2 linked regions of the Arabidopsis thaliana genome follow. The protein of the gene in region 2 interacts with the protein of the main gene of each other region in a pairwise test. Each region holds a gene or a part of one and is shown on either strand. Other genes may lie near its edges.

Region 1 (8,092 bases), on a different chromosome or scaffold from region 2:
TTGACATTAGGCCCGCGTGTGCTTCTACCAGCCATTCCACCTCCACGTGCCATGCTCCCACTAGCCATTGAGCCACTGTCTGATGTCTCTGGCTCCATGTAGAATCGAGCCCTAAAAGCTGCTAGATGTGCATAATATGCAGGGGGAACTACAATATCCCAAAACAAAAAAAAAAAACATTGAATACTAAATCTCTCTCTTCTTTATATCAAAATCAAGATGACATTAAGGGATGGGAAACACAAAACTTACCAATTGAAACTGAGCGTGTGCATCTTGCATACCTGTACAAATCAAAAAGGTAGTTTAAATGTTACTCTTATTTTCCTTGCAATCTTGCAAACACTTGTAACAAGGAATATGTTACAAAGGTAAGAAATCTTACGTGTAACATAAGTTATTGGTCAGAGATTGAAGTCCATCTGCAGTAAAGTTGTTCTCATCCCAAAGAACGTGGTAATGAGCAGGTCGAGAAGTGCCCTGTTAATGGAGTTTTGATTTGTTAAACACTTCAAATAAATTCTCACCCACAAACTCATTTGAGATTGTAAATTATACCTGAATACCAGCATGACTACAGAGGTAAAAGTCAAACTCTGTAGGGTGGCAGATTTTAGAGTCCACAACAGTGCCTACAATTAACAAAGGGGTTAAAAACCAATGCAAGGGATTTTCAGCTGATTAGGTCTACGCACAAAAAGCTTGACAAAGATCCAAACTTGTCTCACCAGGTAAAATATTCCCACTTCTGTCCACCGAATGGCGATCATTGTGGTTCTGAGCAAACAGCCTCGTGTGATGACGCTTCTGCACCACCACAAATGTCACTGGTGGTTGATAACCTGCTTCCAGCGAAGCACAGGCCTGAAATGAGTTGAAATAATAATCAGATTAAACAGAAGAAAACGAGCACGCAACACAAGCCATTTGTTAGAAGTAACTGTTACCTTGCGGATGGCATCAAGTTCATAGAGCAAAACTTGGTAAAATTGTCCCTCACTGACTCCATCCCTGTGCAGAATAACCATATAATACATTTCAGAAAGAAAGACAGAAAGTTATTTAGTCAAGTAAGTGCCATAAGAAGAGTTAATACCTGTAGAAGATGATCCTTAGTGGTTTATGCCCAGTTGATCTACGGAAGGCTATGAGCAACTCCCTGTTCAAAAGTAAGGGGAGAAACGTACAGATCTGTTACTTAAGAGCAAGCTAAAGCTAAAACCCAATCACGAAAATATTAAATAACATCCACACGTACTTTATCATGCCACCAGTCACCACACCTTTCTGAGGATCCTTCCACTCTTTGAACAGATCCTGAATGAGCTCCTGCCTATGCGCTTGAGCGCAAACTAATCCAGCATATTTAGTGATTTCAGGCCAATCCTGAGATGCCACAACCTGAAAACAAAAATTTCGTTGTCAACAAAACAAGCACAATTTGAAAAGGTTAAGGCCATGAAAATAAACAAAAGCATCCATATACAGAAGTAGATCTTAAAGGAGAAGCTAACTTACAGCAGCAATAGATGGGCTTGAATCCTCTCCAGGGTGAGGGTGGGTAACATCAGCACCAAATATAATGGTGGGTCGATCACTGACTAGAGGAATCCGCCTAGATAGAGCATCAACAAGCACTGTGTTTCTTCCTCCAACCTTCACATTAATCTTCAGCGCAACATTAGCCATGTATTGTTTGCTCATCTTAAAGACATGCTTTGTCAGGCAACATTGAGAGACTATGCCGAGTTCAGTCTCACATATGCGTTTCAAATCACCTGCAATGGATATTATTAAGGAAAATAAGTTGAGAGTGTGTTCCTAAGCAGAAGTAGACAATGAAACATCCGAGACCATGGCTCATACCGTATAATGATCCATTATTATCGGGCAGAATGACAATAAGCAGATCAATTTCTTTTCCTTGGGAGAGTTTTGATGTGGCATCATGATATCTAGTCTTCAAGACCTTCTCTACTTGCTCAGGGCGAGCACTGACTGGTGGGAGGACTGGTTCCGGATTAAATGCCTGCAGGTAAGAAATAAAAAATTAAAGGGAAGGAATCAGTGTAGGAAAGGTTAATAAACTGATCAAGTTTGTGCTTCCAAAGACTCACCATGCCAGATACGTAACACATTTGAGCAAGTTCCTGACAAAATGTACGCGCTAGATTGTCCTGCACTTGCCTAGAAAAGTTGATGCAGATCCAATTATTCACCGTTCCACCATTGATCATTTTCTGCAGAGAAGACTCATATTAGCCAGACAACAGAAAACGTTGTGATCACTTTCAAAAAATAACAAAGACAAATTCAGTGTGTATCTACATAGCTACATGAACAAAATACTCTCTGCAACTAGTCAAGTGCCACACCCATACTCATATCAAGAGAATAGCATTTTAGAGTAATATGTCTCATAACAGACAAATAAATAAACAATTTTCTTGCCAATTACCTGGAAATATACAGCTCAGCCATGATTTACAAAATATTCACATAAAAATGACAGCATAGGTATATATAGGTAACACAAGCAAGAAACATGTAAGTGCATAGTTGAAAACCAGGAACATTTTCGTCTAGTTACCTTATTCATCATGTTCCATTGACCAACTTGTGGCAGACAAGTCCCTTCCCTTCCAGACTCGTGGTACTTAAGCTGCAGAACATTAAAATCAGATTGGAACCCTAATTTGAGTCATTAAGATACAGAGAAAAAGTGTAATAGCAAAGAGACAATGGGAACGATTACTATACCCATGGAGGAGGCAGTATACGAGCCTCAACAGAAGCCAGAGAAGTACTTATTTTGATGCCAAACTCTTGAGCATAATTATCTTTAGCATAATCATTGAGTTGCACCGTCTAGAAATCAGAAAATATTGTATAATGTTAGCAATAAACAATTGAGTTTTCAACAACAGCAGCCAGAAGACACACGCGCTGCTAAATTAAGAGCACAACTCTGAAGATGGTAATCTGCCTCACTATTTATGAAGTAAAGGCATCATCTCAAGGTAAATCACTCTCTTCAAGCAAACATATGCATCCAAGTAAAGAAGAAACAGGTTTTTAAGCCATTCATTCCATAACATCCTTTCAGCCACAAGTTTATATGATTAAAAACAAGTTAGATATGAATTGAGAAAATCACTTACTTCAAGTAAACACATGCAACCAAGTAAGAATAAACAGATTTTACAATGATCTATTCCACAATGAGGCTTTATCACCAGCATACATTATTTAAAACGACTATCAAGATAGGCGGACAAAAAGATACTCTTGATTCAAGTGAAGGAAAACAAAGTTATCGAAAATAAAGAAACATACCTGTAAGATATCTTTTTCTCGATCTATCGGGCGCTGACAGGTAACCTTCAGCAAAGCAGTGATCTGTCTCTCATTCAATCTTTTGGAATACCGCTGGCCTTCAACAATCTTGCATACCTGTGCAGCAACACATTAGAATCGGAAGTACTGGTGAGCTAATAAAACCTGATGACGTATTTCAAAGTTACCTCCATTGGTAAGTAATTAGGCCTATTAGAATTCCCAACTTGCAAGCATGGTAGTTGAGTGTGCTGAATGCGAAAACCATATGTTTCGTGGAAGTATTCTACAACAGATTTCTGAGTATTTCTTTCATCTACTGGGAATCTGAAAAGGATAAAAACAGAGAGTAAAAATTAATTTCATCAAGTTCAACATTCGCGAAATAAGAGTAGTAAATCTAAAACAAATACGCACGTCAATTCCCGAGTGGCCACAGCAGTCAAACCGGAAATGCGGTACTTCCGGCGCATGTTTCCTCGATGAGTCACTTCAACTTTGACACCTCTAAGAGCCTTTTTTATCTGTTGACAGAAGAAGATTCCAAGTCACTAAGCAAAGAAGAGTAGATTAATACAACATTTCACTTACTACAGAAAATGACAATTGATTCATACCTTAACACGATCAGCATCAGATAAAGGTCGAGAAGAAATATCCCGGTTAAGCAAATCACAGACAAACTGAATCACAGGGTTTGCCTCTATGAAGGCTGTCGATGACATATCTACAAAACAGACAAAATTGCAGCACAACCATGAGTTAAACATTCAAGGAGAACCAGATATCAAAAATTATTGAATGTAATACAGCAAGCCATCACACCAATATTGAGTGATAAGCCCATCTGTGTAGGACGAATGCTTTGGTAGAATCCACGCCAGCTCTCCAAGCCATCCCCCAATGATTGTTTTTTTCCTATATCAGGGGAATAAAAGGACCGGCCCACCGGAATATACCTGATTCTAACATGTTAGCAAAACTAAACCAGCTGAGACTTACAAGCATGGTAGTAAAGAAGCAAACATCCATAGGATGAGTAACCAGTACCTAGAGGTCGGCAGCTCACGAAGAACAATGTCAAGAACCTGCAGAGCTTCCTGTGGGGCATCTGATTGTTTCCCCTCCAAAAACATTCCTAGGTGATGCAGATCAGCACGTGCAACTAGCTTGATCACAACTTTAAATTCCCTTTCTCGTCTGTAAAATAGGAAAGATGTTATTATTCTGAAACTTCCTTATTAAAAAAATCAACAAGAAACCATAAGAACTAGACCTTTGACCTCCAGCCCCTACTTCTTCGTCAAGAAGATTGATTCTGAACTCCTTGGAGTTAAAGGGAAGTGGACCAGCAGTGTAAAGACTTTTTCGACCATCATACGCTGGAAGACGACTTCCAAGGTGAGAATCACGATAATTATCAACAAGTTGTTTCATCACAGCACGATTGACACCCCTTGATGTAACTTCCGGAGTAATGGTAACCTAACAGAAAGAACACAGTTGGTCAGGTAAATTTATAAATAGACATTAGATGTATGGTAGCTAATACTAAGGGAACACAAAACTCACATCATAATGGTGCAAATCCTTATCAGGCAGTTCAGCAAAGAAATGGTTAGCCTTCACAATGCAACGCTTTCCACTCTGTCCTTTACCAGGCCTCATTGGAAACTTGAAAGCCTTGCTAGAAGAAGGTATAGGCTGGATTGCCTGACTGGGAGCTCCTTGTTCAACAGAGAGTTGTTCAAATTGCTGAGCCAGAACAGTAGGTTCTGGTACCTGGGTAGGACTCACCTCAGACAGTGTAGGCTGAGAAGACACCGCTTGATAAGTAGGTGAGGTAGCTTGATGCAGCTCGGGAACTGATTGTCTCTGCGGTGGTCCAGAAGAAGGTCCACCTCCACGGCCACCGCCATACCCTCCTCGACCTCCTTGATGAGGAGGTCCTCCTCTTCCTCTTCCTTGGTACTCTTGTGGTCCTCCATACTGTTGTTGCTGTTGTGGTGGTTGCCCATATCCACGACCACCACGACCTCCCTGTTGAGGTTGAGGAGTATAACCCCTTCCACCTTGGTGTTGTCCTCCTCCCTGCTGGAAACCACCTCGCTGTGAACCACGTCCACCACCTGAGACTGGACCAGCTTCACGAGACCCAGAGCCTTCACCTCCTTCAGATGGAGCATCCGTTCTTCTCTTTCTCACCATGATGATTCCTGTGAAAATAACACAACCACCCAAAAACAGTGGGTCATTTTAAAATTATCCTTGAAAATAAGAAGCAAACATTGAAAACAAGCACAAAACTATCGAAATATAGAAGCAACAGAAGAAAACCCTAACTAGCTTCAAAAACAAACGACTCAGAAGCACGAAAACCAGTGATTAGCTAGAGAGATAGAAAACCAAATTCAACAGCCCAAAGCAAACATAGAAAACCTAGTAAGAAACAATCAAAGACCTAAACAGAAAACGAAGTAAGAAAACAAGCACGAAACAGTAAGAAATTTGAAGCAACAAAAAAAAAAAACCTAAATATCTTCGAAGACGAACACACACACCAAAACAGCTACGAAGCTAATAGATCCGAAATCGCAAAGATCAACTAAACATACAACACTATCAGTGAACCATAACACCAAAACGAAGCGGATCCACCCAATCGAGTGGAAAAATCGAGTTCATACGCAGATCGAACACAGATTAAGTGAAGAACAAACACCAAAACCGCCGCCATTTTTACCTGAAAAGCAATCTCTCGCCGGAGAAACTAAGATTGACCGAGAAAATCCGTACGAAACACCAACCCTACGTCGCTCTCGCCTCTCTGTGTTCTCTCTATATCTTTCTCTCTCTCTCTAACTCCGAACAAACGAGATAACTCAAAGAAATGAGATTTTACTGCTACACTTTAAATTCAAGGGTTCTGTGGTTAGAGTAAGTTACGGAATTACCCTCTTCATTAATAGCTGGCATATGTCGACGTGGCGAGTCAGGGTTGGGTCTTTGGAATGCTGACCCAAGGTCGTGTGTAGTCTTTCATTGTTTGTAATGCGCTGATGACGTGGAATTGCATAATGTTTTTTTAATCCGGAAAAAGAAGCTTCTCGAAAACAACAAGACGAAAAACATTTTTGTCGTTTATCTACCAAATCTTTTTTAATTTATTTTACTAACAGTATATGTATTATCCGATTAAATATGATTAGTGTGATGCGTTACCTCGATTAATCTTCAAGAGTTAGTTGCATTAATTTAAATATTTGTTTTAGACTATAATATACCTCGATTAATCTTGTAAAGTTAGTTGCATTAATTTACTATTTCAACGAGAGATAATGCATGCACAAGTGTTCAAAATTAGTAGACCGGCCGTTATTAATCTTATTATTAATCTGTAGTAACTGATTAGATCATAATTTTTGGCTTACGTTACGTATAAAGGATGTTATACAGTTAAGTACAACAGTTTAAAATTGGTACTTGTGTGTGAAGATAAAACAGTGGCTAGAGAAAATGTCGTGAGTCAAGGCGACTGATCGAGTAGTACTAACGAATTGTACATTGTCAAGGAGGATTTTTCATGCAACGAAAGGCAAAATCATGCGAATTACGTTTAGTTTTATAGACTATATATAAGATAAAGTGAATGATTATAGTATAGAGGTGAATAGAAGAACTATTTATTAACTGAGATGGGTCATGGGTGGTGGGGCAAATATGAATATAGCCATTTACTATATAGATAACTCTCTTTCGTTTTCATAGAAATATGACCTGCGATTTCGGGGAAGTGATGCTTTTTTACAGGTTTGCCAATTTTCTAACTTTAGGAATGTGGTGGCTGTCATCACGTGGTATGATTTGTTTGTTTAATTCAATTTACTTTATTTGATGGTTAGCTCTTTAATTTAGTTTCACTAGTTGATTTGCTTCTGTACCTCAAAAAAATTCATATACTCGTAACAAATCTGTATTATATATAATTGTCAAAGATGATTTATACATATATAACAAAATTGGTTGCTCGTGCGTGAAGAAGAAATATGAGCTAGAGAATATGTCACGAGTAATTACATGCTGACGAAAGGCTAAATCTTGGGGAAAACGTTTAGATTTCTTTTTGTGATAACTGTAAGTCTATCTCAAAATGATTCGTTTGCTTTGGGAAATAATGATTCTTTTCATTATAAACATTAATTATAATAATCAAACGAGAAATTAAAAGGCGAAAGATTATAATAATCAAGCGAGATGTATAGAAGAACTTATATATGATTTCTCATAACGGAAGAAGAACTTAGAACTCGTCAAGTACTACTACCTCGAGAGTCGAGATGAAGATTAACGGCATATAAGCATTGATATCAATCAAGATTGGTGTACGTAATTACGGGCACCAACGCACATGCATGCATGGCGAGTCTAGCTAGAACCGATCGAAAACGTTGGTTTACGATGGAGGTTTGTGTTCCTTATAAGAACTACGTACAGTTTGGCTCATGTTTGAGTCGATTGGTGCGGTCTTGACGAGAAACGACTCTCACGGCTCGGTTCTCTTCTATAATCAATAGATGTTTTTGTACAAGTTTACGTTTCCGTGTTAATTAGGTGAAAGAATATCTAGACACTTTACCTAACAAAAGATTGTCTAGATCATATAGTAAGGTGAAAAAACATAAAGTTGTAGACAAAATATTAGATGTTGATTGGAGTTCTAAATCGAGATATTGTAGGAAGCCGTTAAGAGGAAGAA
Region 2 (3,968 bases):
AAGTAGCGAAGTGGGGCTAATACAGCTTGTGGGTTCCTTTCTTTTGAATCAAAAAGCTTTTGCTTTAGCCTAAAGCATTCCGATCTAAAGGATTCCTGATTTTAAGTAATCACTATATAAACCAGTATGAAAGGAGCTTTTCCTTTATTTATCCTTCCTAAAAACATTGGTCTCTCTAGTTTTGTGTAAGTTTAGATGATCTACCTCCTTTGTATGGCTACGTCAATATAGTCATATAGATAGAAGTTGATACTACTTGTTACATAAGAAATGTTTAAATAGTGTAGGCTAAAAGCCTAAAACGAAAGGAACAACAAAGTTTGAAGAAATAATGACGATAAATACATAAGATACAAGAGAGTTGGAGCAACGTCAAACCGACCAAGACCAAATCACGTTTCCTTTTACGTGAGACACAAATACGTACCAACGCATTTTGGTTGCCCTCTCATCCATACGGACACCACACATACATAAATAAATAGTTCGAATAATAAAACCAACAAACTAAAAGAATAGTAAAGCATAGGATAGGTTGTGTTGTTTGTCAAAGTAAAAGAATACACATAATACATTATTATTACGGCCACATTGTGATTTGTCTCACAACTAAAACCAAGATGACAGAACTCTAGTTAGTATCGATTCCGCACGTGAGATAGAAATCCTTGATAAGGAGCAGAACATGCCTATGATGATGTCTCAAGACATCATGTCTGTACGAAACTTTTTCTTTTTAAAGGGATAAAACACCATTAGACTAAAGTCAAAAGAATCATTCTACAGCATATTCCATGATTTAAAGTTACTAACAGTTAGAGTAACCCACTCGTTTATTCACGTCCATAAGATCTGAATCCAAAATTATTAGACATCTACTATAAACATGCCTCGAGATTCGGGAGTTTAATTTAGAAAAGCAAAGCTGAAGAGATATCACACCAAATAACACAAAAAGTAACGACCAAAATTCAACTAATTGTAAATGATAAACCGTTTTTTGCGGAATAAATAACTTGAGAATCTTCCAACACAGAAAACAAGAAGAGAGAAAAGTAAACTGGCAGGTAATTTTAATAGGGGACGACGACGAAACACAGGACAATATAAAGAAACATAAACTTAGAGAGTCGCTGCGACCGACCACAGTAACCCAACGAGAGCTTCTCTCTCAGCACTTGACCTCCTTCAAACCATGAGCGAAGTACAAAAATGTTGGGTTAGTTGAACCCTCCTTGTAGTAAGCAAAGACCAAAGTGCTGTCATCATGCATACCCTCCCCAACAAAGCTGTAAAATCAGACAACACAAGCATTGATGAGATTTCAGATGAAATATATGTCATGTATAACAAGCAAGATACGATAGATTGGGGTAACTTACAATTGGAAGTCACTGAGCCTGGGGAGCAAAAACTTGGTAGCTCCCTCAATACCCTTCTTGAAGACAGCTTGATCTTCTTCGCTGAGCTTGGGTGTCAAAAGCTTAATGTATTTCTTAATGTAAGCGATGAATCCCTTCTTGTCATAAGTTGGTTGCTCCTGAAGTCTGAAGGTGTCGACAATGTCAACAACCTTTTGAGTAGAGTCATCAACACCTTCATCCTCACCACCTTCTTCAGCAGATGGATTGGCACCAATGTTAACATCTACAGCTCCCACAGTAACCCACTGGATAACAAAATCAAAACCCAATTCAGAACAGGAAAACAAAAATTTAACAAAATCAAAACAAAACTTGAAGTAGAATCGATGACACTGACCTTTCCTTCTACTTCCCAGAGGATTCCATTCTCAATCTCCTTGTAAGGGAAAGAGTCAGACAGAAGCTCATCACCTGTAAATCAATAGCCCAGACTCTTTAGTCATTACTCATAAGATCCCAAACATTAATCGATACAAGCGAATAAACCCTAAAATCCAATCTACAACGAATCGGTAAGCTCAATTAAAGGACGTTTATATACTAATGAATCACAGATCTAACCAAATCACATAAACTAATCCCCTAAGATTTGAATTATCAATGCAAAGAGCAGCAAATCAACGAAAAACCTATGATGCGATGACAGATCTAACAATTCGATAACATGATTTATTCCGATCGGAAGAAAAAGATCGATAGCTACACAGTTCATACCGAGATTAAGGAATTATTGAGCTTACCGGTGAGAAGATCTTGGTACACCAACATGGTCGCTTATTGATTGTTTTCTCTCTCCGATGGATGCGAATAAACGAAAATCGAAGGTTGCGGGAGAGAGACGCAGCGACGAGGGGATTCTGAAGTGAGGTCCTAAGTTTGGTATTTATAGTCGAAACTATAGCGTAGGGTTTTCAGGTAAATTTACAATTCTCGGTAAATTACAATTTTGGGCTTTAACTGTTTCCAATTTTCTATTTTTTACCCTTTCCTTTTTTTTAAATAAAGGAAATAAATCTGAACCGACGCTTAATGAGCCGGGTTTGGTCCAACGGGTGGGGATTCGAGTGTTGGGCTACGTATAAATAGTGTTCGGGTCGGATAAAATCCTATTTCCCTCTCTTCTCTTCCGTCTTTCTCGTTCTGTTTCTGATTGTTCGTGTAAAACCCTAGAATGACGATGATAGCTTTGAACAGGGAGGTCGAAACTCAGTCACTGAAAAAACTCAGTCTAAAATCTGTTAGACGAGCTCGTGAAATTTTCTCCCCCGTCCATGGCCAATTTCCTCAGCCTGATCCTGAAAGGTTAATCAACAGTTTCGCTTGCAATGTCCACTTTTTTTTCTCGAAATTTCTCAGAATTTTTATGTGTATTGACGATTTCTTCTTCTTGTCTGTTTTTGTTCTTGTCTCGCAGCAAAAGAATTCGGCTCTGCCATAAGGTAAGGGGGTTTTCGAATATTTTTTAAATTTTATCTTTGATCGTGTTGAAAATTTTGTTCGCTTCTTCTTTGTTTTGAGTTTGATAATGGATAGCTTTATAGCAAGCTTCAGAGACGTTGAACCTGAGAAAATTTTATAAGGTGTAAATCGAACAGTCAATGGCTTATCACTTTTATAGTTTACCTTTTATCTGGAGTTAGATTCTTCTCATCAGCTACTATTGTTTGAGTTTGCTTTCTAGCATATTACCCTCATCTTTATAGTAAGATGTTTAGTTTGCATCAAGCGTTTTAGTGAACATCAAGTAGAATATAAAAGTTAATGACTTGGACGTTACTTGTATAGATTCAAGTTGCATTTGGAGGCGTAGAACCTGCAAGTAAGCCTACACGTATTGCTGACCATAACAGTGAAAAGACGGCTCCATTGAAAGCCCTTGCGCTTCCAGGTAGTTCTTTTATCTGTTTTTCCTGTTGTGAGACAAAACTAGTTTCCTATTTTCTAGTTTCCCTGATATCTATTTATATTAGTTGTGAGTTTCATTCATATATGTCTATAATTAGGATTGGAAAACAAGTTTCAGTAATGTATCCTCTTAAGAGTATCTTTTCAAACAAACTTCTGCTGCACTAAAAACGCTGTTAGTGTAATCTTTTAGCCTTTTTCATGACTATTGTTTCTCGTTCTGAAAGACCAAATTATTTTCTCCGCAGGTCCAAAAGGGTCCAAGGAACTTCGAAAAAGCGCAACAGAGAAAGCTTTAGTTGTTGGTCCAACTTTACCGCCAAGAGACTTGTGAGTATACATTTTCATTTGGAATGTGACTAGTCCATATAGTTAGTATAAATAATTTACGACATTCTCAAGAATGTTATTCCTGTTTTGTCTTTGTGATTGATGCTCTACTTATCGTGCTGATTGATACTGATAATTATTGATTCTTGAATTGAAGGAACAATACTGGTAATCCAGGCAAAAGCACGGCCATTCTTCCTGCACCTGGATCATTTTCCGAAAGGTTTGTGTCGCATCCTTATCTACTTTTATGGACTCTCTATAACGACACTACATCTAGATTGCGATACCTAGGTGGTACATAAAGCC

What was found. Proteins that work in one complex are often made in the same cells at the same time.
Region 1: the proteins of TCTP (region 2) and AGO1 interact in a two-hybrid assay, tested with the Arabidopsis thaliana proteins (one study listed by BioGRID).

What each region holds. Positions count from the first base shown.
Region 1 is NC_003070.9:17,886,349-17,894,440, forward strand, and holds the start of AGO1 (Stabilizer of iron transporter SufD / Polynucleotidyl transferase), read right to left. Parts: upstream 6,249-8,092; 5' UTR 6,080-6,248; intron 5,553-6,079; 5' UTR 5,545-5,552; coding exon 4,909-5,544; intron 4,822-4,908; coding exon 4,613-4,821; intron 4,537-4,612; coding exon 4,387-4,536; intron 4,302-4,386; coding exon 4,162-4,301; intron 4,064-4,161; coding exon 3,954-4,063; intron 3,861-3,953; coding exon 3,754-3,860; intron 3,664-3,753; coding exon 3,525-3,663; intron 3,454-3,524; coding exon 3,337-3,453; intron 2,869-3,336; coding exon 2,761-2,868; intron 2,663-2,760; coding exon 2,591-2,662; intron 2,241-2,590; coding exon 2,118-2,240; intron 2,030-2,117; coding exon 1,867-2,029; intron 1,779-1,866; coding exon 1,519-1,778; intron 1,402-1,518; coding exon 1,259-1,401; intron 1,160-1,258; coding exon 1,097-1,159; intron 1,012-1,096; coding exon 948-1,011; intron 865-947; coding exon 729-864; intron 633-728; coding exon 559-632; intron 481-558; and 5 more.
Region 2 is NC_003074.8:5,668,538-5,672,505, forward strand, and holds TCTP (translationally controlled tumor protein), read right to left. Parts: upstream 2,306-3,968; 5' UTR 2,193-2,305; coding exon 2,165-2,192; intron 1,836-2,164; coding exon 1,762-1,835; intron 1,670-1,761; coding exon 1,383-1,669; intron 1,290-1,382; coding exon 1,172-1,289; 3' UTR 780-1,171; downstream 1-779. Other genes in the region: AT3G16650 (Transducin/WD40 repeat-like superfamily protein), read left to right, coding at 2,596-2,726, 2,839-2,863, 3,210-3,312, 3,578-3,659, 3,817-3,882.